4 linked regions of the Caenorhabditis elegans genome follow. The protein of the gene in region 3 interacts with the protein of the main gene of each other region in a pairwise test. Each region holds a gene or a part of one and is shown on either strand. Other genes may lie near its edges.

Evidence for each region.
Region 1: the proteins of egl-13 (region 3) and znf-782 interact in a two-hybrid assay, tested with the Caenorhabditis elegans proteins (one large-scale study listed by BioGRID).
Region 2: the proteins of egl-13 (region 3) and peb-1 interact in a two-hybrid assay, tested with the Caenorhabditis elegans proteins (one large-scale study listed by BioGRID).
Region 4: the proteins of egl-13 (region 3) and jun-1 interact in a two-hybrid assay, tested with the Caenorhabditis elegans proteins (one large-scale study listed by BioGRID).

What each region holds. Positions count from the first base shown.
Region 1 is NC_003282.8:1,062,825-1,070,127, reverse strand, and holds the start of znf-782 (C2H2-type domain-containing protein), read left to right. Parts: upstream 1-2,602; 5' UTR 2,603-2,646; intron 2,647-6,942; 5' UTR 6,943-6,949; coding exon 6,950-7,303.
Region 2 is NC_003284.9:2,207,816-2,217,981, forward strand, and holds the start of peb-1 (FLYWCH-type zinc finger-containing protein peb-1), read left to right. Parts: upstream 1-3,235; coding exon 3,236-3,280; intron 3,281-4,426; exon of another isoform or gene 4,427-4,717; intron 4,718-5,642; exon of another isoform or gene 5,643-5,765; intron 5,766-5,820; exon of another isoform or gene 5,821-6,202; intron 6,203-6,419; exon of another isoform or gene 6,420-6,767; intron 6,768-6,990; exon of another isoform or gene 6,991-7,176; intron 7,177-7,414; exon of another isoform or gene 7,415-7,631; intron 7,632-7,814; coding exon 7,815-7,937; intron 7,938-8,004; exon of another isoform or gene 8,005-8,126; intron 8,127-8,135; coding exon 8,136-8,237; intron 8,238-8,292; coding exon 8,293-8,466; intron 8,467-8,823; exon of another isoform or gene 8,824-9,086; intron 9,087-9,289; coding exon 9,290-9,487; intron 9,488-9,542; coding exon 9,543-10,130; intron 10,131-10,166. UniProt on the Caenorhabditis elegans protein: Putative transcription factor. Binds to specific sequence motif 5'-[TC][AGT]TGCC[GA][AT]-3' in regulatory elements of target genes such as myosin myo-2. May modulate gene expression, perhaps acting in opposition to transcription factor pha-4.
Region 3 is NC_003284.9:5,661,394-5,668,379, forward strand, and holds the start of egl-13 (Transcription factor egl-13), read left to right. Parts: upstream 1-2,443; 5' UTR 2,444-2,517; intron 2,518-2,971; exon of another isoform or gene 2,972-3,111; intron 3,112-5,094; exon of another isoform or gene 5,095-5,287; intron 5,288-6,455; exon of another isoform or gene 6,456-6,600; intron 6,601-6,926; 5' UTR 6,927-6,927; coding exon 6,928-6,986.
Region 4 is NC_003280.10:9,110,634-9,117,667, forward strand, and holds the start of jun-1 (Transcription factor jun-1), read left to right. Parts: upstream 1-2,523; 5' UTR 2,524-2,657; coding exon 2,658-2,769; intron 2,770-5,983; exon of another isoform or gene 5,984-6,042; coding exon of another isoform or gene 6,043-6,094; intron 6,095-6,191; coding exon 6,192-6,263; intron 6,264-7,034. Other genes in the region: T24H10.4 (Transmembrane protein 53), read left to right, coding at 170-415. UniProt on the Caenorhabditis elegans protein: Transcription factor that recognizes and binds to the AP-1 non-canonical enhancer heptamer motif 5'-TTAGTCA-3'. Required for ovulation. Controls plc-1 expression in the spermatheca to regulate spermathecal valve dilation.

The sequences.
Region 1 (7,303 bases), on a different chromosome or scaffold from region 3:
GTGTAATTGGTAATCTAGATGCCTTCAGGCTCTCCCGTTCTTCGCTAGATAAATAAAACAGCTTGATACGCCTAAACAGGAAGTTGCATCGCTCATACCTACAGTTCGACCTTTCAAATCTGAAGCTAAAGTCTAAGCTTGATCCGTTTGGACTAAATAAAAACTTTTAGCCCGAATGTATGTAGACCAAAATGTAGACTCCCTGTACTATATGTAGGTTCTGTATTACCCTGGCTTACACCTGTTGTTCATCTTCTAGCTCAGTTGTTTCTTACTCAAAGTCCTTGAGTTTTCTAGTCCAAAGACCAGTAGGCCCTAAGCCCAAGGAGGTCCAGTAGGCCCGTGAAGCTCAAGACCCCTTGACTTCAAGAATTTTCAACTCCAAGGTCCCAAGCAACCCCTACCCCCCCCCCCCCCCCCCGCTCCTAGTTTTTTTCCTCATTTTTCTGCCAGCCTAGTCTCTGCTAGGCAGGCGGAGCCAGTGTGCCGGTCGGTGCCAGCGCGGTGCGACGCGGAACGACAACAACAACAGAAGTTTCTAGTATTAGTCGTAGTAGTACTAGTTGGTCGACTGGAAAAGTACCTTGAGGTGTCAGAATTGCAGAGAGCCAAAGGTTGGCCTCAGGTCTAGGCTTAGGCTCAGGCTTAGGCTTAGTCTAAGGATTAGGCTTAGGCTTAGGCTTAGGCTTAGGCTGAGCAGGGGACAAAAAGAGAGCAAAAAGAAATCCCCAGAAAATTCAATAATTCTGAAAAAAACCTGACCTTTTCGACCGGTTTTTGGGCTTTTGGACTTAGAAGGCCTACACAAGATTTTTCTAATGCTCAAGTGTATGAAAATCGAACTAGCGTTTTTGATGCCTCGGTGCTTATCACCTTAGAATTCCTATGCCCGTGGGCTTTGTTTTTTTTTTGAATTTCTCAAGTTTGGAACTGAATGAAGCAATGCTTTTGCACCCCCGTTTCCCTTGCTTACTCGGTTCCCTGGTTCCTTGCACGATCCCAGACCACTTTTGGCTCCCCGGTTCCCAGGCCCCCCTTAGCCCCGCTGGTCCCGTACTCCTTCCGCTCCCTGCTTGTTCTCCGCGTCTCTGCCGCTGCCGCTGCCGCGTCGTCGTCATTTTCCAGGCAAAAACATATGAAAAGAGCCATGGGTGGCTCCAGGTGGTGACCCAGCACCGTGTATTTGTGTGTGTATTTCTCGATGCTTGCAGCAGCAGCAGCAGCAGGAAAAAAGAGTGAAATAGTGTGGGGGAGGTGTGGCAGCATGTGAATCATGGATAGATGGGGGGGGGGGGGGGAGGTTTTGTAAAGAAGACAGAAGAAAAAAGTAGAGAACATACAAATACAGAAAGATATGAAAAAAGTTTTTTAGTATGGTACTTTATATTTGGTAAAAATTCGAATAAATATTGGTCCTTCTTCAAGGATCCTTTGGCCAAACTTGGGGTCTAAGCTTAGGCTGAGGTTTGAGCTCAGGCTTGAGCTTAGGCTGAAGCTTAGGCTTGGGCTTACTTATTGAAACCCTATGAGATAAAATCCGGGTCCTAGGCCCAAATTAAGCCTATTCTGCCAGACGAAAGACCCATGGTTCTTAAGTTCCCATTGAGACCAGATCGGCCAATATTCAAGGGCCTCTTTTTGAAACTCTTTGAGATAAAATAAGGGTCCTAGATCAGGATTAGCGTGGCTAAAAATAAAGTACTTAGAGCCCTGTTTGTAAGCCTTCCAGCCTAAGTATGACCTGCAAGATTAGGGCTTTCATAGACCAAATCAAACTTTCAGACCGAAATTCAAGTCCCTATGCCTTTTTTGATACTCTTTATGATAAAATTTTGGTCCTAGATCAGAATTAGGGTTTCTAGGCTTTTTTTGCCAGACTAAACAGGTAGGAAACGTAACTCAACACTTGGACCATTTAGGTTATTTTTGGGGTATTGTGGCCCTTTTTGCTTCATAACTCCTTTTTGGGCCAAAACTAGAGTCTCTAGAACCCTGTTTGTAACCCTTTCGGGAAAAGTTATGGCCTGGCCAAGACTGGCCAATATCAATGCCTTTACAGCCCAAATCAAACGTTCAGACCAAAATTCCAGTCCCTAGACCGATCACCTTTTAGTCCGTAATTTGGCTCCCTACCTATAAAAAGTATAAACATGCCAAAATTAGGTTGCAAAAAAGACCCAGTCTATGATTTTTGGCATTTTAGACTCCGTTAGGCTGAAATATAGCTCAGGATCCTAACACTTAGACCTTTTTGACCTAAATATAGATTTCTCAATTCAGAATTTCAGTTTTTAGACCTCCTAGACCTATTTGAGAGAATTCTCAAAAATTGTGCGATTTCCCATACCCTTATCAATTTTGTGTTGTTTGGTGGTTTGTTGCTCCTTCCTTCTTCTTCTTCTTCTTTTTTGAATGTCATTTTTTCAACCACTGGTCATTCTTTTTCCCACACTCTGCGTCTCTAAGTGGCCAGCGGGGGGGCGCCCCGACGTGCCAGTCGACACCAGGAGGGGCGCGCGGAACGAGCCGATAGAGCGTGCGAGACGAAGAGACGCAGGCATTTTTCCGCAGTGCTCGTCGCGTCGCATCATGCCGCTTCCGCACTCCGCCGCGCGCGAGGACTCTTCGAGAAAAAGACGAAAAAACGTGAGTGAGTTTGGCCTATCTGGAGCTCTCTAGAAATTTCTGGGACCTGTCTAGGCTTGGACCCATCTAGGGTTGGGTTTGGGCCCTTTTTTATCAGTTTTCAAGTGCAACATTGAATTTCAAACGACACTCCGTTATCCCTCTAGTGCTTGATGTTTAGCCAATTTAACTTGAAGTTTTTTTTTAAAGAAAAAGTTCCAAATTTCGGGCCAACTCCCTCTAATCACAGATTAAATTATGAATTTAAAATTTATCAGCTTTGCACCACCGACCACCAAAACAAAATCGATTTCACCACTAGAAGCCTTCAAGTTTTGAAATTTACTAGTTTCTAACGACACTCCGCTATCCCCTAGCGCGCTCTGTTTATCCAATAATTTTTGGTGGGAATTTGAAATTTTACATGACTTTTTTGTGCATTATTACCAGCTTTTTTGCACAAAAAAAAAAGAGAACTTGCAATTTTTCAAACTTTCAAACGACGCTCCGCTATCCCACCAATCGCGCCCTGTTTATCCAGTAAGTTGTCTATTGGTAATAAATGTTTTATTCATTATTCTATACATTTGTAGTTGATATGTAACTAATATCGCTAAAATAAACCAAAATAAAAACATGGTGCATCGATAAGTTTTGCAAACTTAACTTTACCAGCTCTATATCTAAATTGTCTCTGGGTTTATAAAATAATTATCAACTGACAAAATATTGCTCACCTCTTTTTCTACATTAACCCGTGGAAAAAATTACAAATAGCATAAAAAGCCGAGATATTGGCTTGCCTAACATAGTTTGCCCAAAAAAAAACTCGACAAAAGTGACCAGTTTTCTCTGAAACAATGACCTGGTCATTTGAACTGGTTTCTCACCATCCCGTCACTCTTTCAATTGTCTACTTCTGTGTTTGGTTTTTTTTTGGGAGGTTGTTTTCATTTGTTGTTATATGGGAGAGAGAGAGTGAGGCTATTGTTTTATCTTGGGACTCCTCCTCTCGGAACTTTTTAATAATTGTTTCATTCTTCATAATTCCTTACATATTTTGGCTGGTTTTGGTTTTATCGGAATTTTTTTTTTTAAATTAACACTTCTTAGATAGAGTCTGTCGAAGAAAAGTTCTGAACATGGTGCATCGAGGCCATATTTCGGTTACGTTTAGTTAAGCTGTTTTTCATAATTTTTTCTACATTGATTTCATATGACTCAACTTTGAAGTGTAGGGCTCCTATGTAGGCGATAAAACGCCTACCTGCCTGGCCTTCAGGCGATCTCCGCCTGCCTCAATACTTATGCTAAATCATACGTGTTTTTTTTTTCTTTTTTTTTTAATTTGAAAATCATCAGTGTAAATACACCTAAAATGCATAAAAGGGGAAAAAGCAGGCAGGTTTCAGGCAGGCTTCAGGCCCCGCGCCTGCCTAAAATCTAGTCCATGCACCATGATCTGAAATCACTATCAACCCAGTTTTCAAAGGTCCTATCCACATTTTCCACCAATCCCGTTAATCCGTACTACATGTAGGTCAAACACATGGTTTTTGAAATCCAACTAGATATAGCCATAAATGTTTGTATGTGGTCAAAGTTTCTCTCTCATTTTTCCAACAAAAAAAGAACGCACACACACACATATGTTTGTATGTGGTGTCTACCTATTATTATCTATGGTTGGACGGGCATCATCATGTCACCGGCAGGCACCCATAGCTCCGTGCCAGGCCGCTTGCCGCCGCGCCGGCAGGCATGCGGTCACGCGGAATGGGTTACGAGGGGGTAACCTGATACCACGAGTTGGGGTGACCAGGGTATGTGATAAGGTAAAAGGTTACGTATTTGAGTATTTGAAAATAAAAGGTTAGTGATTTTGAATGGGAAATAGGAAACTTTGTGAAATTTAAAAAAACATGGTGCATCGACTGAAAATCCTTCGTCAGCTTTTTGACGTCTTGTATTTCAGTTGTGTTTGGTGTTATCAAAACATTGTCTAGTGACAAAATGTTTATTATAACCTTTTCTATAATAATGTAGTTTAACAATTTTTGATATCTCTTTAAAAAACCAAGATATGATCATTCAAAGTAAAATGCCAAGCACAACTTCATTGGTTCAAATCTTGGTTGTTTTTGGTTCAAAAATTGGCAACAGACAAAACATTTCTTATATCTTTCTCTATAGTTCTATTTTTAAACATTTTTTGATATCAGTAAAAGTAATCGAGATATAAGCTGTCAAAGTTAATCGGCAAAACATGGTGCATCAACTGTTACAGTGATCGTACCCCTATCGTAATTTTTCTGTAATTCTACAGTAGCCCTACAGTAATACTACAGTAGCCCTACCGTAATTTTTTTGTATTTCTACAGTAGCCCTACATTAATACTACAGTAATCCTACAATACCCCTCTAAAACCTCAAAGTTTTCATGTAGTAACTGAACCCCTCCAGGTGCAAAAATTGCTGCCAGGTGCAAAATTTCACGAGGTGTTCGGAAAAGTTTAGACTCCTTAAATGCTAAAAATCTTTTTGGACCCTTGGATTCTTTCACCTCTCCTCATACTAATATCCTACTCTTTCAAGACTACTAGTCCCTAGTCACCAAAACATAAATGACGAATTCCTACGTGCGTTCTTTTGCTCCTTTTGCTCCGCGCGGAGCCCACCGAACGCCGGAGCCAAAACAATTATTATATGCCGTGTGTGTGTGTTGTGTGTGTTCCGCGCGGATAAGAAGAAGACGCAGTTGAGAAGAAGCGTGCCAGTCGCCGTGTTTGTTTTGGCGCAGCGTCGTCGACGGGGTGGTCTTGAAGAGCGGCGAGGAGGCGCCTGGTACCAGTAGTCGGGGTGGGGTGGGTGAGGGCTAGGGCATCAGAGAAACCAGACGTTTTTTTTGTTCGCATGCTTCTTCTCCGCTGTGTGTTGTTGTGCTGCTGCCACCTCGAACGTCGGAACATCATGGCACTGCCTACCGCGTCGGCCGCCGCCCGGGAAAAAGAGAAACACACAACACACAACACCCTTCGAGGAGTTCAGTTTCTAGATCAGCTGACACAGAGTTGTCAACAAAAACAGAGAGCATCATCACAGAGACTGGCACCGCTGCTGCAGCTGACCACTGGGGCGGACGCCTAGGTCATTGTGCTCTGGAACTACCTAGTTGCTTCCCTGAAGTTTGAAATGCATAGGTGTTCAATAATCTTACTGTAATGCTATAGTCCGTGACTCCTCTATACGTCTTGTTCATTCATGTCGATGCACCATGTCTTCCTTCCAACTTTGACTTCTCATATCTTAGCCCAGATTGTAGATATCTTTAAATTTCTAAGTATCAAATCATAGCCAAGAATATAATACACATTTTGTTAGTTGACAACTTTTTTATAAAACCAAAGGTAGCCGAGATATAAGTTGTCAAGCATACCGACGATTCACCATGTCTCCCGTTTTTTTGACAACCGATATCTTGGTTCACATTAAAAATATCAAGAAGTGTTCAACTACGGAACTTAAGACACTATACTTGATAAATATTTTGTTAATTGATAACTTTTTGATAACACGAAACATAGCCGAGATATGAGATATCAAGGCTATGGTCGATGCACCATGTCTTCCACTTTTTTACTGCCAACTTTTTTCTCTTTTATTTTGCATCATATCTCAGTTGCCTTTAATCTTATCAAACCTTTTTCCACTGACAAAATACTTCTCATCTTCTTTACTCCAACTTTGCTGTTGAAAATTTCTTGATAACTTTTTACCGAACCAAGATAAAAGCTGTGAAAGTAGGTCTGCATGACATGGTGCATCGACTAGAAAAACTGCGATCTTTGACTGCTCATATCTCTGTTGCCTTTGATTGTATTGAAAAGTTGTTCACTGACAAAATATGTGTTATTCCTTTTTCTACAACTTTACAGTTACAACTTTTTTGATACTTTTTTTTTTGAAACAACATTTTTTGAAACAGAGATATGAGTTTTCAAAGTAGAGCAGCATTTTGATATAAAATAGGCCGGTTTCCAAAAAGCCAGATTCGATTCCCCAGTGTGGCATTTTTTTTTTTGATTTTTTTGTGATATGAAAATATGCTTCAAACTAAAATCTACTTATAATCAGGCTTATAAGTCAGAAACAGAAACAAAAATATTTGACCACAACGGGGATTGAACCTTGGTCCTGTGTGCCTAGGTTCATCAAAAAACCCACTGCGCCATTTGGCCAAACATCTAACTTTGCCAATTTTCGTCGCATTTTCTTCATTTTTTCTGGTCTCCAATTCTCAAATGTAATTTTTTTTAGAGTCAACATGACACTTGACTACCACCAGCCTACCACAACCAACACAACACTGCCCGATGATATTCACATGAAAGATCCCGAAGAGGAAGAGTTCGAGGAGTACGAAGACGAGCTTCTCGAGGAAGAAGAAGAGTTTGACGAAGAGCTCGAGGAGCTCGAGAACAGCGACAGTGCTTCATCTCTAGTGTCCGCCGGCTCACCACACGGTTCATCGTCATCAAATGGCTCACACGGATCCTCACCACCGCTTCAAGTTCAGAGCCCATCTCAGGGCTCAGGATCCTCGGGATCTCCTACAGGTCAGCCGGAAAAACGGCATATTTGTACAGTTTGTGGAAAGGGATTCTCGTATTTTTCAATT
Region 2 (10,166 bases), 3.5 Mb from region 3:
AGGACTGGCAAAACGGACTAACACGGTTTTTTATTTCATTACTTTGAATGAAGCAAAGTATTTGTTGAAATCCGAAAAGGCATAACGTGGAGCTTACAAAACCAAACTTCCGGTCTACCAGATTTCATACTATCAATAAAATGCTCATAAGGGATCTAAAAATTCAATACTACAGTACTACTTGTGCATAATGTTTTTGAAAAACAAACTGTCTTAAAATTTCGATTTCAATTTCAACTTCAAAAATATGATGTTACATCTCTTTTTACGTTTTTCTTTTTTTTTCTATCAAATTATACTAAACTGCAGCTTGATATTCTAAGACTCCTTTATCACCAGACTAGAATCACTTGCCACCTATGCGTACTCATTGCGTCTCCGTTTTCGGATATTAGCGCAAAGTGGGCTGCACATCTTTGCTCTTCTCGAAAAAGATAGGTGAAAGTGTGGGAAGTGCTTGTCGCGACACATGTTGATATGTTTATTCAGTTCACATTTGGCAATATTTTCAAGTGCTTCTAGAGTCGTCTCAATTGCCAAAAGGCTCTTGTTTTTGGGAACAGGACTTTAACGATCTCGTCGTCTTGTAACCCCTGCCATATTGGGGATTTTAAATTCTCCAATTGTTTTGGCGGTTCTAATGTCATGTCACAAAGTTGACCCAATTGTTTTGTAAAAAGTGATTAGAGAAAGTGTGCCGTCAAGGGTAATCAGTTTGTAGATTACGTAAGAACCACACAGTTTTGCGGAAGATCGAGAAGATTGGGAAAAAAGTATGTCAGCACTTAACGTCGGGTGGCAGGTATGAAGAAGTACAGAATTCGCGAAAAACCCCTTTGAAGGACATTTGCGGTGGCGGAGAGTTAATTTAAAGGTCTTCTTTTTCTCAACTGGTTGACCCCCCATACAACACTTTCATTTCCGTCAACTACAAAATAAGGAAATTGTTTCACGTTACTGTCATTTGATCGTCTTTTTCTTTGCATTGAAGCAAAGCGGAGCGGCTCAGTGAGAGCCTCCCAACAAGGAAGTAAAATTGAGTGGGAAAAGACCGTAAGACGAGGACGGCGCTCAACTTTGTGCAAGCCCTGTCTTCTCTACGTTTCGTTCGACGCACGGTTTTGGCACAATTCAACCTGGTGCGGCTCTACAAACACCACGTACGTATAGTGGTGTGCGCGTTGCGGAGAGCCACAGCAAAATAAGTAAGCGAGAATAATTGAGAAGACAAACAGGGGCCCCCTCCCGAGCATAGATGGCCGCCGAGCCACACAGTGATGACCGGCGGCGCTGTCACGAAGGTCCACACCAACGGCGTCTCGATAACACTCTCGGCGCAAGTCAGACCACAAATCGGAAAGAGGTGATGGAAAAAGGTCGTCGCTCCATATTTGCCTACCAGATGCAAAACCGTATAGTTATTCAATTTATGTTTGCCTGTTTATTGGCTCGTCACTACTTTCGTTTGTTGTTGGGCGAGTGACCATTTGGATGCGAAGGCGAAATCGAAACCGTATCCACCCCGTGTTTACTGCTACTTGAAAGTTCTCATCCAGACGGATTCCGTGTTTGAGTGCGTGTGGAGGCCGGAGCAAAATTTCACAGACACAATGAAACAACCTTGTGTAGTAGAAACAGTTTTGTAATTTGAAAAGTTTTTAAAATCAGACAACTGAGATTATATCTCGATTATACAAATCACTTGCTCCGGGTTTTTTTCTCTAGATTTCCATCGGTTTTGGGACTGCACTGGAGATTTTTGGATGAACATGTGAAAATTTTTTAAATAATGCACAGGCCGAACAGTCACACTTTGAAAATAAATTGATGTGATCTATGCAGATAGTTGCAAATTTCAAAAAACTCTACCCCTGAACACTGTCATTCTGCCATGCCATAATTTAGTTCAGTCGGATGAATGACCTTTCGTTGGCCAATTGGATGCGAAACACTGGACGGCACCGAATCGGCACGGCAAGTGGTACTGACAAGCGACAACAAAGACGGATAGACCATCAGTTAAATCAAGATAAGAATTGCTTGTGAACTTTTTCAGATATCGCATTAGGTCGAGAAGTTAATCAAATCATTGCTTTTTGAAGACATCACTGAAAGTGCCAATATTTTAGTAATTGATATTTACACAAGGGACCCCACTGAACTCATCAATTTTAAAATGTGATTTCCAGTTGATGTAAGCAACCAAGAAAAAGGCATATTACTTCAGGTTTTTTGCACTTTTATTTTCCAATCTCACAAATGTGGGCGTATGATGAGCGGCACACTCACGCATCCAAAAGTTTGCCGGATTCATAAAGTAGTATAGAAGTGTCTCACGAGCGTGGAGGGTGGCGCTGGCCCGAAAAAAAAATACGCTGAGACTGTATTGGAAAAGTTTAATCACGTATTTCGCTCGACTCGTCATTTATTTGAGCCTTAGTTTGTGTCTCGCCGTTTTTGGTTTTCCGCCTCTCCCTCATTCCCCCCGGTCTATTCCGAATTTGCCGCGACCCATCACAGGTCACGAACTTTAGTGCCCGCACGCCGCGTTTTGTATCTGCCTGCGCATCTACACGCTGACATACTATTTGTTTGATCCGCGCGGAACTGCCACAAACAACAACAATCTGCGTCCGGCGAAGACGTCGTCACCATATACCCATCTATTGCATCCAACTCATCTCTTTCTTGTATTTAATTCCTTTTTCACACACCCACACACACACACACCACACCACAGGTTGCAAACCATTGTATAATTTTCTGAAAAGCACTGTAACCAATTAGAAAACGATTTTTCAAAAGTGGAGCAGTGCTACATATATGATACCAAAATAATCAAATTTTGTATTAAAACTTTTAAAAAGTCAAAAAAAATCGTTTGAAATGTTTTTTTTACTGACAGTCAAAAAGTGGAAATTTTTAGAGTTTATGCCTCGAACAAAAACTGAGATTTTTCCAATTTCCAATTCCAGTTTGACACACATAGTGCAACTCCAATTGCTCATTATTTTATTAGTTTATTCTTACAACCATCACCCTTTTCCCAGATGTATTTCGTACCATGATGTGTGTATGTGTGTGTGTTAAAAGGTCATTTCAAGCTCTTCGTGAAAGGCACCCTGCTCAGTTTGTGCCCTGTTATGATCAATATAAATGTGTACTTTATTCCAGGGCAACGAAACGAGTAAACACCGAGAAAAGGAAGCATTCTGGATATTCCAAACTGGGGCTGATGATGACAACAACAGTTCAAAAAAATTGCTGGCGGCTTGACCAGGTGAGTGACCAGTTAGATTTGTTCAGCGACAGGCGTTTTCAGTCGGTGGTTTGAGTTTGCACAACTGTTTTCTTGTCCTTTGCGTGAGCCAAGGGGTTTGTGCTGAGTTACCCTCTATCTATTTGTCAGAATACGATGTGATGATCAAAACTTTAACATCATGCATTTTCTTGAGATCCATAAACCCCCCCCCCCCCCCCTCTCGTGTGCTTCTCTGTTTCTCGGTTTGTTCTCCTATTCACCCCGTTCGTTTCAGTGACGTGTCGTCGTTTGTTTCTGCCTGCCAAATATGGCTACGGGGGGGAATATGAATTAAATTGACTTGGTATCTATCATTCCATTTTTATTTTCTGGGAGATGTCAAGAAATTTTGGAGACGAGCGGTTTTTAAAATTAATGTAGTTTTTTTTGTTGTGTTCTCACATTTTAGTTTTCTAATCGGGGAAATGTTGGAGTAAATTGTAATTGATAGGTACACATTTACTTATCAATGGTTCACAGTTTCAGTTAATTATCAGTATTCATATGCGTTTTTATCTTTTGTATAATTTTAACATTCTACATTTTGCAACCAAAAAGCTCTCTATGTTTCTCCTTTACGGGCGGAAAGTAGTGCTGGCTTGTACCATTGCCAATCAGCTCTTTGATTAAAAAACCAACATATCAGTTGACAGTACCATTTTGCCCCTGCTCGACTTCAATGGGCCGCGCCAGATGAGTCAGCGACCTTTGCACACGAGCCCGGACAGTGCTAGGCGCCGGGGCATGACCAATGCGCGAAAGTTTTGTTGCGTAACCGCATGTTTATTGTCCGCTTGCCAATCGTTTTCACTTTTAGTGATACTTGCAGCTCGCCCTCGTCGTTATATTTTTTTTCTGACCGTCGACGCTTGCTTGCCTTCTCCGAAAAGTTTTGATATAAAACTAGCAGTATTTTTCGTTCTGTGGCTCATAGTTTCTGACGTCTTCCTCTTTATGACTTTACGCGGAAGAAAAGGGCAACATCTAAAACCACCCAGTAATATAAAGTGCGCGGTTTCGAGGGAACAGTTTCGAGAGAAAGATTAAGTAGATGAAGGCAGAGAGAACCAACATTTGCAAATATAGTACTAGGTTGGAGGAGTGCCTCGGCGCTGCGATGCCTGTCTACAAGTTTGCACTTGGCTGGTCAGTGGCGTTACGTGCCACTCTCTGTACTGCGCGAGACGTGGCCAAACTGATGCGAAGCACAATATATACACGCCCCGAAGGGTCATTGTTTGCCGTTTGCCCCCCCCCCCCTTTGCGGAAAGGCCTTTCGTACTGTACTCTTGATGTGTGCTTCCTTCCGGCCGGGCACCCGCCACCGTGGTTGTCACAACTCGGATGGCTCCCACTTCCTCCACTGTCGAAACCGTTCGGACCGCCCATTTCCATTTTGGCTCACGCCGGGCTCTCGCACACATACTTTCCACACTTCTACTGTCAGTGGTGGCAACTGGAAGCACTCCATAGTTGACTAATGACCTTTCTAACCTTGTTCCCTGTACTAGAGCTATCAATTGTGTATCATTTCTCTTTTACACTATTTCATGTTTGAATTTTCGAACAGGGGGTCAATCTCTGAGGCAGGAAGGGTGGAGCACCAGTAACGCACTTTACTCGTTTTGCCTTGGCGCGTTCATTGTTCCATTTCACAATTTTTCTCCTAATTTTCTAGACCACTTCAGTTTTTAGAAGCGCTAGATGTTGTTTCATGAAGTGACCAGTCTTGCGTGTTCAGTTTTTTTCTTGGCGTAAATGCCCACTCTTCTTCTTTTCTCCTAGCTGCCCCTTCTTCACTTTCTCCAAATCAAGGTTCAGCTATAGAAAGTAAAATCGCCTTTCACTCATCCTGGACAAGATTGACTACGAGCTTTTGCAGCTTCTAAGACTTCTTCGAGAATGGGGGGGGGGGGGGGGGGGGCGCGACGTGAAAATGAAGGGCATTCATGGATCCCGTAGTAAATATGTGATATCATCTATACCAATTTTCTGGATATCGAACTAATCATTGACGATTGCAAAATTTCGAAAAATTTGTAGGAGAGAAACGATTTCATCTGACCGATCCGAGACTGGCACCCCTTTGTTCTAGGCCCTCTCCCGATTGCCATAGAGATGTCCATCCATCACCTTTCCTGACAACCCCAGATGGTGGCGTATGTGTATGTGTGTGTTTTTTGACTAATTGGAAACGAAAAGCCGACTCCAGACTTGTAATTTTGCTCCAGCAATGTTTTTTTTCCAGATCTTTTCAAATTGACGAATCTGCCTTTAAACGTTTCGTGATAGACATAGAAATTGACATCCGGTCAAATAATTAGATGAAAAAACCTTCCATATTGGGGGCAAAACGTCCAAGTGAGAGTGGATCGGCGACTGGCGCCAAATTGCTGCTGCCGACGCAGTTACCATACTTGGATGTCGGACAAGGCGGATTTCGAGAGTTGTTTTTATGTACACACGCCTTTCACCTCTTTGCCCCTTGTGATCTTTTTTGCATTCGTTAGACGCTTCTTTCATTTTCGTTCCTCATCACCATCATCATCCACTACTAATGGTTCAGGGCACGGCGTATGCGCGCGCGTGCCTCACACCATCGGATCGCGGATGTTTTGGCGGGGTTGGCTGTTCATTTAGGGGGGAGGCGGCCGATTGAAATGAAGAAGATGTTGTGGATGTAGAAGTAGGAGGAGATGGAGGAGGCAAAGGCCTTCTCCCTCGCGGTTCTTCGTGGCAGGCAGCCTGACCCCGTTCCTTACTGAACCGCCCCCCCCCCCCCCCTCTCACTTCCACCCGACGCCGCCATCGGAATTTTAGACTACCAGTAGAATATGGATAGCGGAAGGTGTGAAACTTCAGACTGCGATTCTCTAGATTCACGCTTACTGTATTTCTACCTTACTACTAGTCTTGTTACGATTACCTTCCTAATTTTAACGTTTGATATGTTTTCACCTTCGGCTTCTATACAATTCCCATCATCTTGAAATAGGTATTATCAGCATGTAAGCATGCCAAACAAATATTTTTGTTGTCCAGTGGTGCTCGACCGTTCCAGGATCGGTATTATGCAATTTTTCGCTGAACCAAGCATATACATACTGATAAGAAAAATGTTTGTTCTGTCGGCCACTGATTACTAGACACTTGAATTCTGACCGCCATAAATGGCGAATCGTACGCGAGAAGTGCTGACGCCGTCTTGCGCCGATGTCCAATAGGACCTTGCACTTTGCCGATGTTGCAACAGTAATAGTTTCCATCAAGGTTATGCGGACTAGTGCCACGCGATTGGGTCAAGCCGTTGGCTTCCGCCTTTCTTATCAAAATCTTCGCCCTCAATTACCTAATTTTGTGGTTTTTTTTTTCTCTCCCGAATCCATCAATCCGGTGTCAATCCGTGTCTTCCGCGCTAGGTCATGCGGGCGGCGACGGCGCGGCCCTTTTTTCGGTAATCGTCCTGGCATCCCACACTTTCCATTGGCCCGGATATAATAACTTTTTGGAGACCCCCTTTCTGGTGCCTATTTGCAAAACTTGCTTCATTTTTGGTCACTTTTACTCGAACTTTCTCTTCGACGATGACCCCCTCGCCCGCCACAAAAACAAAAAGTGAAACTTGGAACGGTACTCGTTATACCTCATGCCTTTACTTTCTCGCGCCACTTCCTCGCAGTATTCCATGGATGGAAAAGCGGTCAAAAAAGTATTATGATCAGGCTGGCGGAAGATAGATGGAAGGAATTGTGGGTCAACGAAGTCAAAACACCATTACTCGATAAAAGTCGCCGCATGTTGCGGAATGTGTGCCATCGAAACTGGTTACTGTATTTCTTTTCCGAGAATTTTGCTTTGCCCCGCTATCAACTTTTTGTTCTATCTTCTTTAGAAATTCCGAATTAAATAATGATAATCATATACTTCTGTATTCTTTTTAACCCTTCTTTAGTCTGTTTTTGAAATTTCGACCAACCACCTCAACAAAATTTACCAAAATCAAAAAAAAAAGTGAATGTGTCAATCTCGTTTCAACGCATGTTTCTCGCCAATTTCCGTACAGTCAGTTGTGCCTCCTGCCGGTCACTCATCCTCTATCTCTTCGCCACTCTCGTTCTCGCGCACCTCATCCAAATAACAGTATTCGGTGTCTTAGTTGGCAGCCGGTTGGTGCCTGCCACGATAGGTTATCAGTTCAAATGGCACGCGCCTCTCTCGACTGCCCCATCAGCTGATTTGTCCGCCCCAAGCAACTGATAGTGCCTGGGGCGGAGAGATAGATGAGAAAAAATCGTCTGATTCTAGGTGTCTGAACCTCGCTCGCTATCCAACAGCAGGTCCGCTCGTTTTTTTTGTCACATCTCTCTTCGTTGGTCATATCTCTTTTTCATCATCTGTCTAGTTTGAGTTCAATTTCTAATTCATCAGAGGTCATTTGGTTATTATTATTCTATTGCTCCCATCGCTATTTTTTTTTGCTCATTTGATTTAACACATCAATTTTCCTTTTCAGACAATGCTGGGTCTTGAAAAGCCTGGATCATCAGACATTTCGTCTTCTTCCACTGATACTTCCGCCATTTCTCCGATTAGCGTGAGCAGTATGCCACTATCACCGGACAAGGAAAAGAAAAAGGTAAGTACTTTGAGATAACTGTTTGGACTGTCCGAAGGGCAAACATAGTTTTGAAAGAGAACGTTTGCATAGTTGACCGGTGTTTGTTCAGACGGAAAATTTAGGGCTTCCTTCCCACACGAATTTCAAAACAACCTGACACCGGGAAACACCGCCTTAACTGGCGATTTTGGGCCGATAATAATAGTTTTTTTTCAGATCTCATTTGTCCGATACAATCCAGACATTCCACAAATTGTCACATCTTTCAAAGGATATCAAAAACTTATGTATCAAGGCTACCGATATAATATTTATCAGGTATCATAGACCATCATTCAAGTGGTGACTTTCATCACGAGTTGTTTTTTTTCAGATTGCTCCAGAACGTAACTTCAAGTCTTGGAGATGCGTTTGCGCTAAGAAAATGCATGATGGGCAGTGGTGCAAATGCCGAGCTGAAACAACCATGGATAATAAAAACGCATGCACGAAAGGATCACACAATCACCCTCCAAGACACCATGTCGCTGAGATCGAATTTATCAAGGTACGTGGCGAGATTACACAGTCACAACTGTCTAGGTTAAGAGCTAGTGCCCTTTGCAATTGGCGCAGTGCCAGATCAGAGCACCGATATCATAAGGTTGAATTTGCCAGCTGACTCTTTTTGTTCCAATTGGTTCCTAGGCTTGGCGCCTTCAAGTTCGAATTTCATAACGTCATGTGGAACCTCTAGCTTTTGAGAGTGTCTAAGGGAATTGTGTGTACGTGCAAAAAAGATAACTTTTTTTTATTTCGTAACCCTTAAAAATTCACTTCATGGCACCAGTAGATGGAAAAAAAAGATCGTCGGCCCTTTTCGAGTGTGTCAAAAATAGTTTGTGTATACAAGTTAAAAGTGCAACGAGATGCGCTACTTTCGGCGCTGGGTGGCGCCGCCGAGTGCCTAGGTCAGTTGCGATGTTGGTCAGGTCAAATAAAACAATCTGAGCGTGGCACGGTTCGAAACATCGGCCACTCATGCGCGTGCCGCAATTTTGCCCCCCTCCTCCCTCCCATGTTGATGAACCGCGAATAATTCGCAAACAGATCCGCGCATTGCCAAGGTCAAGCCATGGATGGCAGGCACGCGGCAGCGCGCGCGGGGACAGGCTGGGCCATACCACCCGACTCGTTAACCTAGATGCGCCAATTTTCCCAAATCTATTGCGTCGCTGCCATTCAAATTGACGGTACAAACTTTTTGCGAATTCTTCCGAATTGGGTCATCGGAAGGGTCAATTCTGACGCAATGTAAAGTGCATCGAATTTCAAATCCTGATTCGACCTTTGTAGATGCAGTTTAAAAATACAAAATTATATTATTTCAGTCTCAACTATACTCTGCTGCCTTGGAAAATCCGGACCACGATGCTGGAGATCTTGTGAATCAAGCTAGCATGTACTTGAGTGATGGAGTGATGTTTGATAACAAGGAGAGTATAAAGAAAAGCCTAGTTGTTGCCAGAAATAAGGATGGAAAACCAAAGAAGCCAAGAAGTAAACGAATGATGAAGTTTGAAGTTGATGTAAGTTTTCGGTTAGAGAAAAACTAGTTTATTAAACTGTAATTTGTAAATTCAGGACGATGACGAGAATGAGTACAAAATGCCTAAACTGGAGACTGATATTTCATGCTTTTTGCCATTCATCAATAATATGGTCAAAGTTGAGCCACCATTCAGCCATACACCGACTATTCAAATTCCTCAACCTATCCCAACTCCTATCCAACATCAACAACAAGAGCAAAGCAATTTACTTCAGCCTGCAACGTTGAATGGTATGAACAATCCATGGATGGGAATGGAAGATCACCTCGCAATGATCTGGGCGGCAAATGCTATGTTGAACCCAGGCCTGGATGTACTTTCCACTATTGCTGCACTTTCCAAGCATCAGCAGCATGTCCAAGGTCCATCGCCTCAACAAGCTGCAACGGCTCCAACAACTGCTTCCCTTTCTTCAAATCTTTCTGTCAGTAGCTTCACACCGCAAATGCCCAAGGAAGCTTCCATCGCAATTCCAGCTCCACTTCAGGTGCTTAACTTGAAAGATCTGAAACCTCTTCCACCACTCGCGAACATTCAAACGAGCCCAGTCATTCAAGCAGCCAATCTACTTTTGCCAGTAGCCGCGTTGAAAAAAGATTCGAGCACTCAGACCACAGAGGTAGCTTACGACACTCTCACGTGATGACATCATTGT
Region 3 (6,986 bases):
TATATGCCATCCGTACGGTAGTGACCAGTGGCAAATCAAATCAAACAGGTTCCGAGTGTCAATAATAAAGACGATGAATGAGGGAGAAATGAGGAGATGGTGGGGGGAGGCAAAAAGGCAAATCGCAAATTATTTTGACACTACCTCCTGTGTTTGTATGCATTTGCCGCAATGGTCATCCGCTTTTGCGTAACACGGGTACAATGGGCGGCAAAATTGAGAAGGAAAAGCAGGCAAAAGAAGGCAAAGCCGGCCTTTCTCAGGGAAAGAAATAGATTAACCGGTGGGAGGCAAATGAACAAGCATGGATTTTTTCGGATCTGCATACATACAAGGTCTACCTATGGGTGTGGCGCTGAATATATATCTTTTGTACTCCGATTGATGGAGTTTCAGCGATTTGGGTCACTGCCACCGATTTGGCCAATGGTACTTGAAACATACTAGCTGTTGATGTAGTAATGAACTTTGTAATAGGTACCTTCCAACTAAATTTGATTTATAGTGTGTTCCTTACTAATGAATATAACAATCTCTTCTGCTAACATCGAGCATTTTCATGCTCCAAGACAGTTCACCATAACCCTAGAGCTGTTGTTAAAAGTTTTTCATTTTACATTTGTGGTATTTCATTAGCATTATAGGCTCTTATATCCTCTAGACTCATAGCCAAACTAGCACAACCTGTAAAAAAATTGGTAAGTTCTGATTTTTGGAGTAAAAACCTTAAAAGTATGTTCTTTTTGAGTTATGAATGTCATAAATCTTGAATTTATCAGGGAGCGATAATTTTGCCAGCTATGAGACATAAGAAAAACCTCCAATAGTAATTTTTCATATCAACTTGTAAGAACATAAACATTAGTCACATCACGCGTTGTGCAACAGTATTTGAGTTTGCTTAGAAAATCGGAATACTAAATGTCTCAATCTCAAATTCAAGTTCAAGCATAGATCTAAAATTTTAACATTTCGATGTGTTTTTTCAGTTCTTGTGTTTTTAACAATTCTAAATATGCAAACCTATTTAATTTACCTAGTTATTCAGGGTGGTTAATAACTGTGTAAGTTCACTTGTTTTAATATCTCGTTCCAAAAACAGAAACGTTGAGTTACTGCAAAGTGGTCGCCATAATTATGGGCGACTCTGTATATTCTTGAACTAGAAAACCGTATCTTTACGGTTTCATTTGTGATAGCCTTTTGACCTTATTTTATATAGACTTATATAAGAGTTCGTATACTCTAGGATTTTGTTGTATGTAGTAACTAAGATTTTTTTTAATATTCCAAGTTCCTAGATGTCATAACCTCTCACTATAGTTAGAACTTTTTGGCCTACTTAAAATTTCTAGGCTATATTGAAATACAATTTCAGTGTGTTTCAATATTCTTTACTGTCAAAAGCTAAAATGTCCACCTAAAATACATTATGATTGATTCCCGTCCTCGTATTGCGATGCCCTCTTAGTCTATCATAAATGCATTTCCGAATCTTCGAAACGAGGTTGAGTAGGTGCATTGTGTCAACTAAAAGAAACATTATGGAATTGTTGCAAGTGGTTCTCGACCTATTACCATTTCGCGTTCTTTGGAAAACTTTTGCGCCATTGGTCAACACATCCAGTTCTGAAGAAGCGCGGGTCCCCACCGTGTCTCTCCGACAACACACCACCACCACCCACTTTGCAGAGAAGAGGGCACAGTGTGTAACTTATTGTGAGACGATTCAGAGGACAAACAAATTGCGTGGTCAGTTTTGTTTTCAGGTGGGGTGGTCACTCTCTTTCATTCTCTTCATTGTGTGATGGAACACAACTACCTTGAACCACTTGTCTGATACCAGTTCCCTCTTCCAATCACCTAGACAACCAATACCAGCTTTTTCCTGTTTTCTCCCTCTCTCTTCTTCTCTTGGTTCAAAGTTTGTTGTCTGAAATTGCCAGTTCAATTGGGTCACCATGTCTGAAACTAGTGACCAATGAAATTTCGTGAACAGTCCAAAACAAAAAATTAATACCATAGGCTTCCTTGTGGGACAACTAGTTATATTTTCTGTTTGACTACTGAACTTATGTTTCTCTAAGTGTTGCTTTCTACTTTCAACCAAACATTTTTTTTCTCATTTTTCCATTTTGCCCCCATCTTTTATTCACTTGAACCTTTTCTCTTTTCTTTTTCTTCTTACCCTCAAAGGACAAATCGTGAGACTATCCTCAATTGAAGAAAAGGAATTTCTGATATATATCTGTGCAATATCTTTGTTCTCCTTCATAATTCACAATTCATTCAGCGCGTGTGAATCGTTTGAATTAATAATGCCACTGAACTCAAATAATCGGCCTTTTTAAGTTTCTCTAGTTTCAATTTCTAACGCTTTTGATTCTTCTTTTTCAATGTTTTCTTCAGGCTTGAATTTACAAACGCAAATTTAAAATTCCAGACACTCCAAATAAAATCAATACTCCATAATACTGCTGGATCAGTAACAACAATCTCCCGAATGGCTCTATAGTGGTGAGTAAGAACTAGTTTCCGTTCTAGTTTCTACTGTGCCATGCTCTTTCCCCTTTTAATGTTGTGAGCACTGTTTTGCTTTTTCATTGAAATAACAAAACAAGTAGAACAAGTATTTGCACCAGCAAGCATCTGGTAAGTATTCTCTTCCTCACCAACTTTACTTTTCTCACACTTTTGCCTATATTTGCGCATTTGGAGCAAGAGCAACACTTCCAGATTTGGTGACAGATTTCAAAGAATTATTACTTTGTCTAGTCTTATTTTCTCCTTGTCGTGTGCCGTTGTTGATCATAATAATAGTAGGCCAAATCGCCGCACCCGTCACTGCTCATGATCCCTTTAATATCCTAGCTAACTCCGAGTTTATCATCATGTGCCTCCTATGGGCACTGCCAATTCCATAAATAATTGTTTTTTCTTCTTTTCTATCTATCCTTTGTGTTATCCTTCTTCTTCCATACTTTACCTTATCAAATATTCATGTATTCTTGACAGACTGTAAGGGATAATTGGAGATCTCGATGATGAATTATCCTTGCTCTTGTGTTTGCAGTTTTGGTAGGGTGTATATGTCAATTATTTCTTTTGAATACTCTATTGAGAATCTATTGAAACCATACTCTATTCAGCTTGAGCTTCAAGGGAGAAACATGCGAGTGATCATTGACATACTTGATTGTAGTTAAAAACCGCATTTTCCGTATTAAACTTGCACCCCAATGGATTTACCTCGTATATCAGTCTTCTTAAGTTTTACCAAAAAATTATTTACTGTTGAAATGTACAAAAACATTTTGCACATAATTTGCCAACCGAGATAGAAGCTGTCAAAGTAAAGCAATGAGAGTACAAGACTAATACATTACAACTAACGTCTATATCATCCCTTTTCTAATCTGGGAGTTTGGTGCTTCCAAATTATTTTCAGAAAAAAACGTCAGCACAGTTTGATAGCAAATGCTGCAAAGGATATGCTCCCCCAGTTTTATGATGATACCTGAAAATTAAGTAAAAATTTTGTAAAAAAAACATTCATCCAACTTCTATAGCACTCATCGGATTTTTTGACAGGGGCCAGTTCTCGGCTCCTCATAATTTTCTCGTTTATTGTTAAAATTTCGAACTAAACTTTGAGATATAAGTTGTGAAAATCAAGGACCATAGGTTTTCAACATTTTCTATTGAACTGTACTAACACCTTTTCAAAAAATATTTTCAAAAACACCAAACTCTCAAATTAGTGGGGTGGTGCTATAGACGTTGGGCACACTGTAGAGAAATATTTGGTGGTATATTAGGTCTCCAAATAAGTTCCGGGTCAAAAGTCATAACTTTGTTCGCTGCGTATCGATTTTTATGAAACTTTGGGAATTCATGTTATCAACTATGATCTTTCATTTGACAATAGTCACAAAATTTTTTGACCACCCCAAGTGCCCTAACTCGGAACCAATTTTTTCAGGCATTTTTCTGATCTCGCTTCTTTTCAAATTTCAATTGAGGTTCATGGTTACATCATTTTTGTAGGAAAAATCTAGAATTTTCGACAAAAAATTTTTTTGAAGATTTTTTGACGACCAACCAAAAAAAATTTTTTTGGACGGATTTTTTCAAAACTTTTGTTGTTTTCTAATAATGTATTCTAAACAAAGAAAAATCCGCACACAACCCTCAATTCAAAGCTGAAAATAAGCGAGATCAGAAAAATGCCTGAAAAAATTGGCTCCGAGTTAGGACACTTGGGGCGGTCAAAAAATTTCGTGACTATTGTTAAATGAAAGATTATAGTTGATAACATAAATTCCCAGAGTTTCATGAAAATCGATACACAGCGAACAAAGTTATGATTTTTGACCCAGAACTTATTTGGAGACCTAATATATTTGATTTACCTTTTTTTGAAATCTTTCTTATTTGTTGTGCATGAGACTTAACTTTTTTTTCATAAACTTATCACACAACAATTCTTCGCAAAACACTACAATCGAACATCATTCCTGCTCATCAAACATCTGCGCTGTCCCACTGTCCCAGTGTCTCATCGCTCGTCAAGCCTATCAACATTTTTTGTCCCAAACTAAAAGTGCAATGAGAGCTCCATTGTATTGCACGAAAAGTTTCTCAGTTTCTCAAAAAGTGTGACATCGAGAGAAAAAGAGCACCGTTGTTTCGAGGTTCAGCCGCCACAAGAGCCAGTTGTCACCGGCGCCCCGGATACACGGAACAAAGCCATGAGACGTATGTTCTATTAGGTGTTCAACTATTGCTAACCTGTCACCTGCCCCGACATTATTTGATTATCTATTGTCTCGTTAATTGATGGTAAGTAGAGTGTGTGACACCTTGAGAAACGATTCCACAAATATCACCATTTTGAACGTGTTGAAAATATCCGTCGAACTAACGTTTGTACTCGTAGTATCACTTTTTCCTATCCGTTTTTCGTGTTTGAAATCTTTGATAGGAAGATAAGACACAGGGAACCCCGAGCTCTTGATGGAACAATGCCTGCCAAGATGTTTGTCAATTGTTGCATCTTCCTGGAAGACGACAAAAGTTCCCCCGTTTTTCATCTTTTCGTCCCACTCTCATACGAATCTTGAACAGAAATTGTTGCGAAAATTTTTTCTTTCAAAAACTGACCTCAAATCAGCGGAAGGAGTCACTTGTCACACTTGTTCTTCTTTTATATATCACACTTAATAACACCTATCTTTTGTTGTCAAACCAAAACGGAGCTCTTGTAATATTCAATATTGAACGAACATTATGCCCTTTCCCATTTGACAAATAGGCCTTGATCCATCCTGCTCTAGACTATAATCGGCTTAACCAGGCCTTGCTCATAGATTTCGATTCTTAGCCCCTGTTTCCTCCATCCCCACAACAACAAGTTATCCAAGGGCAACATCGATGAATTGTGGAATTTGATACTAACGGTCCCGCGGGAAGGTGAAATTGAAGTATTTGAATTATTGTTTAATGCAAAAAGATCAAAGGTTCTAATGTTCTCGTAAGAAATGTTGTATCAAAAGAAACCCATCACCATTGATGTATACATCTTAACAAGGACCGAGTGCACATTTTCCCACAAAACCATTTTCTCAGCTTTTCGAGAAGAAAAGAGACAAATTAGGTGTGTAGAGAATGGTATTGTTGTGAATCGATTAGTCATAGATTGCTTTTTTTGGTCGGCCGTTTCACCCTTTCTTGGCCATTACTAATTGTAAAAGGGTCTTTGACCATTATTAAAACTGGAATACAACTAGAAAAGTTTAAAGCACTACTGACCGAAAATAGTTTTACCATCCATGCAAACTAGTACTACAAAATAGGCTCCCTAAATATTAGAATACTATATAAATGTTTTGGTATTGAAAACCGCTTTCTGGAAACTTCAATGAGTAACTTAAAAGTAATCGTGATAACTAATTCATTATCACCTCTATCATTTCTATCTTTTCTTGAATCCACAAAACGCTATTCGACACCTGCTGTCCATTGCTTACTTACATTTCAAAGCACTTGTTTGCGTGTGCAAGCCTCATGAATAAAAGCATATTGAGACATCCGGTAGACAGGTATACGGTAGGCTGATGAATGCTCAGGGGGAGTCCATCATAACCACCAGCAAAATTTCTTCTTGTCTTGTGAAGCTCCTAAATTGTGCCATCTTTCCTGGCCCCGTATTTCATAATTGTTTGAATTTGTTATAGCAACATCTGTGTGAAATGAATCGCATGTTGACCTGCCTTAAGACTAATGACTCGTATCGCGATGAGCTACGAGAACGATTATGCGAATTTATAATCACAGGTGGTCCCAGTCGAAAAACTCTCCCTCTCTTTAATAAAAGTATAGAATTGGGAAATTGATGTGCATGCAATGTAACATGTAATACATGTATGTACAATTCTTATATTCCGATTTTCTTCGAGTCTTTGAAATGACAAATTTCCGTTTCCTAACGCTTTTCCATCAGAATAATAAGTGGCGCATGTGCATAACACTGCACAAAAGTGATTAGAAAGCATAACATTTCCTGTTGCTGCTTGATGGACCCATTTCCGGTGATGGCACGTCGTCTTGTCCAGGTGTATGTGTGAATATACACTGGGAGTAAACGCTTTGCTCATTCACTTCCGTCGCCACCTACTTAGGAACATCAGTGCGGCTGATCCCCAAGATGGAGGGCTTTCTCGAGATGACGACCCCTCATTAACGCTCATGTTTCGATGTATATTTGCATTGTGTGTATGCATCTAATTTAGAGTTATGATCTATCCCTTTTCGTTTCTCAACTTTCCCGCACATCCACTACCAACTTTTTTCTTGGGCCAATCCAGCCTTGCTGCAAACGTTGCAACAAAAAATCCAAATAATTTTAAAATATTGTATTTTTCCAGCATGAGCCGTAGACGAAAAGCGAATCCGACAAAACTGAGTGAAAACGCGAAGAAGCTTGC
Region 4 (7,034 bases), on a different chromosome or scaffold from region 3:
ATAAAAGAAAAAAATAGGTATTCTGAAATCCAAAATTGAAAAAAGCTAAAAAGCTTCTTTTTGTTTACACTTCCTAAATTTTTTGCTAGTTTTTACAGTGTTTTAATTGTTTTATTCTAGATTCTAGAATCTAGATTTAACACATTTTTAGCTTAACAAATTTTTCCAGGTTTGCTCCGAAGAATCCATCGAAGAATACGCCCAGTTAATGGAGCAACGTGGTGTTTCAATCTCAAAACTTCGTCTTCTCGATTCTTTGCACTGCCAACATCTCCGATCTCATCCCGTGACGTACACTCAAGAATGCCTAGACTTTGTGAAATCAGGCCATCTACCAGCGAATAGAAGTCGTGTGCCGTTAGAAATAACTGAAGAAGCTGCACAAAATGATGTACCTGAAGAGCTTGCCTACTAGATTCATATCTATAGATTTTTATTGTTTCTCTTAATATTTATAGATGGTAATTCGCATAATTACTTATATATTAATTGACCGGTTCTTCCCATCTCCTTTCCCAACGTTCCATCTCTATGTCCCAGTTTTATTCGCTTTAAAAGCTTTTGCTTGATACTATTGACATTAGATATAAATTATTACTTTTTGAAAGTCCCTGCTATTACACGAAAAAAAGTTTCCTTCCTTCTAAAAAAAACTAAACTAAAAACAGAATCTTGGAAGCGTAAATATTATTTAGATGAGGGGCTCCTTATTACGTATGCCGGTGCGTGCACTTTCTATTTTCTTCCTTTTTTTCTGAATTTTTTATTTTCAGCCAGGCGTTTCCCTTTCGACGTAATTTGTTCTCGAAATCACCTGAAATGTGAATGGGTGGGCAGAGGAAACACAAAAAAAGAGAGAATTCAAATTGATTCTGATGTGATGCCATTTCCACTAATCTCTCAATTCTTACTCCCACCATTTTTTTGCAATGATTTCCGAATTTGTGACTGCTTTTTCGTTCCGATTTCATTTTGATGACCGTGTACAAAAAGATGAGCAGACAACCATAACGAACGCGAAATTGTATGGAATCGTGAGAGACATAAGTATGATTAGAGAAAATACGAAGTTATCAATTATGAGTAGATACTACTGTTGATATTGTAAATTGGAAAGTGAATCACAAATCATGACTATTGGAGACCAATGAAACACTTTCAGATTTATGTTCGAAACTTCGTACCCAACTTGGTTCCGAAATTGGCAAAACTTGGCCAATTCCTGGTTCACGAATGTACAATTCAAAAGCCTCTAGATATCAGCACAAATAAGCCAAATAAAACATGAAGTTAGTAATAATAAAAGATAATTAGCATCGATCGTGTTAGGCCGAATGACTATTCTTATGCAAATTACGGTGTTTCTATGAAAAAATTAAGTGCAAGTGCCGAAAAAAATCTACCAATCAAAATTAACTTTGCAAATGCGATACAAATTCCCAAATGCAATGAACTGATATCTACCGTACTTTCCAAATGGTATGGTACACGGTATGTTACCTTGAATAAAACTTGTTTTGATATCTAGACGAGTTGTTTGGTATGCTGAATAACATGGTAAAACAGTTCAAAAAATTAAAAAATGTTTGTAACTGTAGTCAAAATCTGGCTATTACTAATAATATGTTATCACGTATTACAAATATGAAAGATCTAGGACCGAACATGCAAAAATAGTATAAATTACTTTGAAAAAAAACCTTTTTTTTGCATTGTGCCAAAAACAAAACCTCAAACAATTTCAAAAAGAAAATCAAAATATGTTTAGATTTTGTAAAAATGATCTAGAGTATTTCTGGTCTAGTTGAAGTATGTGCAGACAAAATTCTCGAATGTCATAATCGAACACTCCAGAGTAAAATGTTCATTAACAGTTTTAGTAAATTGCCAAATTTTCCAAAAAATGTTTTCTGGTCGACTTCCAAAATTGGATTTACTGAAACATGAGTTTTTATTACTCTCGGTTTTTATTAATTTGAAAAACCGGATCAGAAAGCTTCAAACCCCTGCAAAAAACGTATTATATTTTAGTTATTATTGGGTGCATAAACAAGATCTATGGGTAAAAGACTAATGAGGTCAGGCCTAAAAAGAATGAAAAACAAGATGAGCTCTGAAAAAGCCAATGAACTTCCAAAAAGATAAGTGGCTGATGGAAAGGCAAATACAGAAGTCAAAGGAGCGGAGAGAAATGAGGGAAAAGAGACGGAGAACGTGAAGCAAGCACACTGACACATTATTTACGGTAACATTTTTCTGCGAACTTTATCCATTTCCTCTCTTTCTCTCTCCATTTACCTTTCTAAATGTCAATTGGGTGGTGGAAAGAGAGAATGAAAAATAGAGAGAATGAGAAACTTCTGGATTCTCTCAATTTTCAATGTTTTCTTTCAATGTTCGTTTGTCTATCTGCGTCTATGGATGTCATGGATCTGGAAAATAGAGAGAAAGAGATAGAGATAGAAAAAGAGAGAAAAAGGAAAAGAACGAGTCAGCAGAGGAAAAGAGACAAGAGTGAGTGTGCGTGTGACTCATTCTCGGGGCCCCCGCCGACTAACCCCCATCGCCATCGTCGTCAACCGATTCGTCATCAACTTCTCTTCCTCTCTATTCAATTCTTATTTGTCAAAAGGTTTTGAAATCAAAATAAAACAAAAATGGAAGAGGATCAAGAGGAACCACCATCCTCATCAACATCATCAGAATCTCCAGAAGTTGTTCTAAAAGCTCCAAAAGCTCCAACTCGAAGAAGGAAAAATTCCAAAAAGGGTTAGTTTGTTTGTCTAGTTCAAAAGTTTTGGAATACTTGATGATAAACCTGTCACAATAGGAAATGGACAATCATGGTTACAAAACTATAGTTTCACTACTATCAAAATGCCAAATTACAACTACCAAACATTTGTGATCTCGTGATTTTATCGTTAATTGATGAAGTTGTTTGTCAAAACATTATATCAATTTGTAGATCTATGTTTAATATGAATTCTTTGAACCCATAAAAAGTTTATGACGCGTGCCAAAAAAAACAGGTGGTTGTTAAAATTGTTTTGTATTTTTCTTAAATGATTTGTAAAATTAAATCATATTGTTTCTTACCAAATTGAAAGTTTTTCTATGCAACAATTTCCTTTCAACTGGACATAAAACACTTAAAAATAGAGTAAACGGTATAATCCTGGCTCCGCCCACTTTTATGAATGTTCATCATTACATTTTAATCATCACAAAAACTACGAGCGAGACTCTAATTCGGAGAGAGACGCAGTGATCGAGAAAAAAAAATCGAGTTGACACGTGATTTTCGATTCCAACGACGCAGCTACTGTAGTGATCGAAGCGGCGCACAGCTTTTCCCGCCCGTTCCATCTGGCAACTGTCTGCGTCTCTTCGTCTTATATGGTCTCTTTTCTTCGAACTGTTTTTTGTTGATAAACGCATATGCCTAGTTTAGCGGAAGTGTAGAGGCATTAGGGTTAGGATCTAGGAACTTGAAACTATATATATATATATATTCCTAGACCATATTCTGTAAACTTGGTAAATTTTTTGAACTTTCATTAAACCTAAATTCTTGATTAATATTTAAAATTGCAATTAACGGTAAAACTATGTTTTTTTGGAAAATCTCTACCTCCTACTCTAGCTTGTCCCCTAGCTTTACTTTGAAGATTTGTATTATTCAAATCCTTCAAAAAAAGCTTAAATATATTATGGTATACAAATCCGACAAACCTCATTTCTCTAAAACCTTCATCTAGAAATTTAACATATTTCAAACCCGACATTTTTTCACAAGAACTACCTAATAAATCACCACAATATGTCTCTCCGCCCTCTCTTGGTTTGAGAGCAATATTTCATTGGTTCGACCTGATTGTGCCAAATGATAAGACTAACAGCTGTTCCTTTCGGAAGTTTCATTATTAGCTCATCAGATCATTTTAGTACACTATTTGGGTTTTTTAAGGTTTTGTCGAAATTTATAGTTAGGTATTTTGAAAACGTTCTTCGAAGTCATATTGACAAAAGTACAATACGAAAATACAAAACACACTATAAGTACAGAAAATTCAAGCAAAAGTTCAAACAATGCTATTTTAAAATTGATTTTGAACGATCGAATGCTATAAAAAATCTAAAATGATCTTACAAATGGCTTATCCCGGCCCTTCGCTTCTCTATTTTACGTCGAATTTCTCGTTATCAAGATTTTTGCAAAGAAGATGTTTAAAAGTTTGTCTTGAAATTTTTTTTAGCTACGTGAGCTGAACTAATTTTCGATGCGTTTATTCTCGAACTTTGGTTTCTTAATTTCCATTTTATCCAGACATATTTTGTTCATTCGTTCTATCCGTTCCCATTCATTTCTTGGAATGAGTCATCGGGCTTTCGTAAATGTTTTGACACACACTTTGCCCCTTTTTTCCTTCCCATCTTTCAGTTTTTAGGCTCTGATTTCTGTTCCATAACATGCATGGGTAATGAGATGAAAGAGGCTATGGCAACTCTTGCGAAACAGTCATATGTTTGATGAAATATTCAGGCGAATCTCTGTTAGTATTTGTTCTCATTTTCTGCAGAAGTTGTTTCAATTTTAGAATGGAACCTGTAGGTAGTTAGTCATTTTGAACTCAGTTTTAGCTAGGTTACCCATAGTAGATCTATCTAGAGAGGTGCATCCTCAGGATCCACTGCCTGCCTCAAACCTACCCGCCCCTCCTGGCTTCATATTTTTGATTCAACGATGTTTGGCGCTCGAATTGTGTTAACTCATGAGTTATTAATATTTCTAGGCACAAGGCAGGCAAGGGTTGCCGTGAAGGCAAGCCAAGTTCCGATGAGGCGCATGAAGCCCTAGTTTCAGCCAATTCCCATCAAACCTGACACTAATCTTTAAAGAACATATTCATGACGTTCTGCTCGTGGAAGACTGATCTGCTCTAATATTTTCTTTTTGATGTTTATCTCTGAGCTTTTCTGGTTCTCTAGTTTCATCTACATTTTCTGTTAGAGAACATCTGAGAATCTTTTTCTTCTTCTCTTTTTTTCACTTTTTCTATTTTCCCACCATCATAAACACAAATTAAAGAACGTGCTTGGATGGAGCATTATGAAAGTTTTTCACTTTCCTTTTTCGTGTCGCGTATTCAAAAACTTTAAACAACATTTCCCACCAACTTTTTCTGCTAATCAGCGTAGTTCCAAGAACATCGTTAACATGTTTTGTTAATCAAATCTAACACGCGTTTCATGATCAATTGATGTTTGTGTTATGAAGTTATCTGAAACATTTTTCTTCATATATATTGAATCTATTTTTTTGTTATGCTTTTCTCGATTCCCGCCAATTTAGGATATATTCTTGTTGGAATTGTACTTCCTAAATGTGCTGATATTTTGGAAAACAATTATTTTCCGGGTCTTTTGATTTGATCTATGATTTTGCAGTGGCTGAATTTTAAATAATTATCAAAGAAATCATAGTTTTTGTAAATATACCTAAAGAACATAACCGTATTTTAATATGGAATTGATCAGAAAATAATCAATCAGTTGTTTCAAGAATCACCAAGAAATGGAAATTTATAATTCTCTATCCTACCAAAAATAGAATCGATTTCAAGTTTTTTCACATAACTAGAAATTTTAAAATAACCACCAGAACCACAGTTAAGGTAAATGGAACACAAAGTTGACTGTAAGGGGTTCGAGGGACGAAAGGCGCCTCGGTCACGCCTCGACCGAGTGGAATGCCTACTAGAAGCACAGCATCAGAGACTGTTCACGACATTTAACAGTTACAGTGATATGGTAAATAACGAATTAGCAATATAATTCTTCCCGTTTGTCTTGAAATTGTAAGCAATTCAGTGTGCTTTCAGTTCATCCTGAAATGTCGGGTTGTTGAGTAGTGAGTCATACTCGCTTATCACCAAAAATGGTTCTCCACCTCCATCTCATTCTCTCATCGTTTCGTTTCGTTTTCTTCTTCTTCGTTTTCCGATTCTCATTCTTCTCTATTTATTTTGTGAATCGATGATGAATAACTCGTTTGATATGAATGTGACACAACATACCAACTCTTCACCATGTAAGGGTTCATTTTAAGAGTGACAGTTTCATTTTCAAATGACACGAATACCAAAAGACTAATTCCAATCTCTGAAGTATTAAAAGTTAACTTTCAGATCGGCGACAGGATATGGAAGTAGATGATGGCGAGAAGGAAAGCACAGCACAGTACTGTAAAGGATTTTATGGTGAGAATTTTGAATATTGAAATGAATGGAAATTTTAAAATAAAAAAAGAAAGTCACAAATTGAGAACTCAAGAATAATCGTTTGCTGATCAAATATTCAAAAAATGGAAATCACAAAGTAAAAACGTCAACAAAACTGTTGTGTGACTGATAAATGAATGTCTTTCTCATCACAATCAGAAGGTGGCATACTACTTTAAAACAATTGTACCACTGTTATGACTGGATGGAAAATGAAAAAAAAACTAACTTAGATATACATAGTCAAGATTTTTTTAAAGTTTTCACCTGAAAAAATTAATTGATTTCAATTTTAAATTTTCTGCACGCCAGAATATCATTAATCCTACACCTAGTACCACAAATTTTGAAAAAAAGTAAAAACTATTTTGAACCGAATTAAGACAAAAGAAATACTCGACAACTTGCCGCAGCTAATTCAGCAACTTCAAAAGAAAAAACTCAACTCAATTGACTTATAAAAGTTACAATATTTTTTTTGGGGACTAATTTTCATGAATAGTTAACAGCTCTTCCTAAGCAAAAAAAAATAATTCAAAATTTTTAAAAATTTTTTTCAAGTTTAAAACGAAAGTACGCAACTTTAGAAAATTGATTTTTTTAACTTTGATGCTTTTGCTGTCATTTAAAATTTGCTGTCACGTGGAACTTTGTTAACGGCCACGAAAAAGTACGATTTTTTGCTTCTGAAAACTCAGAATTTGTACCTAGAATTCTTAAAGTAGTTGAATAATAAATCAAAAAGAATGA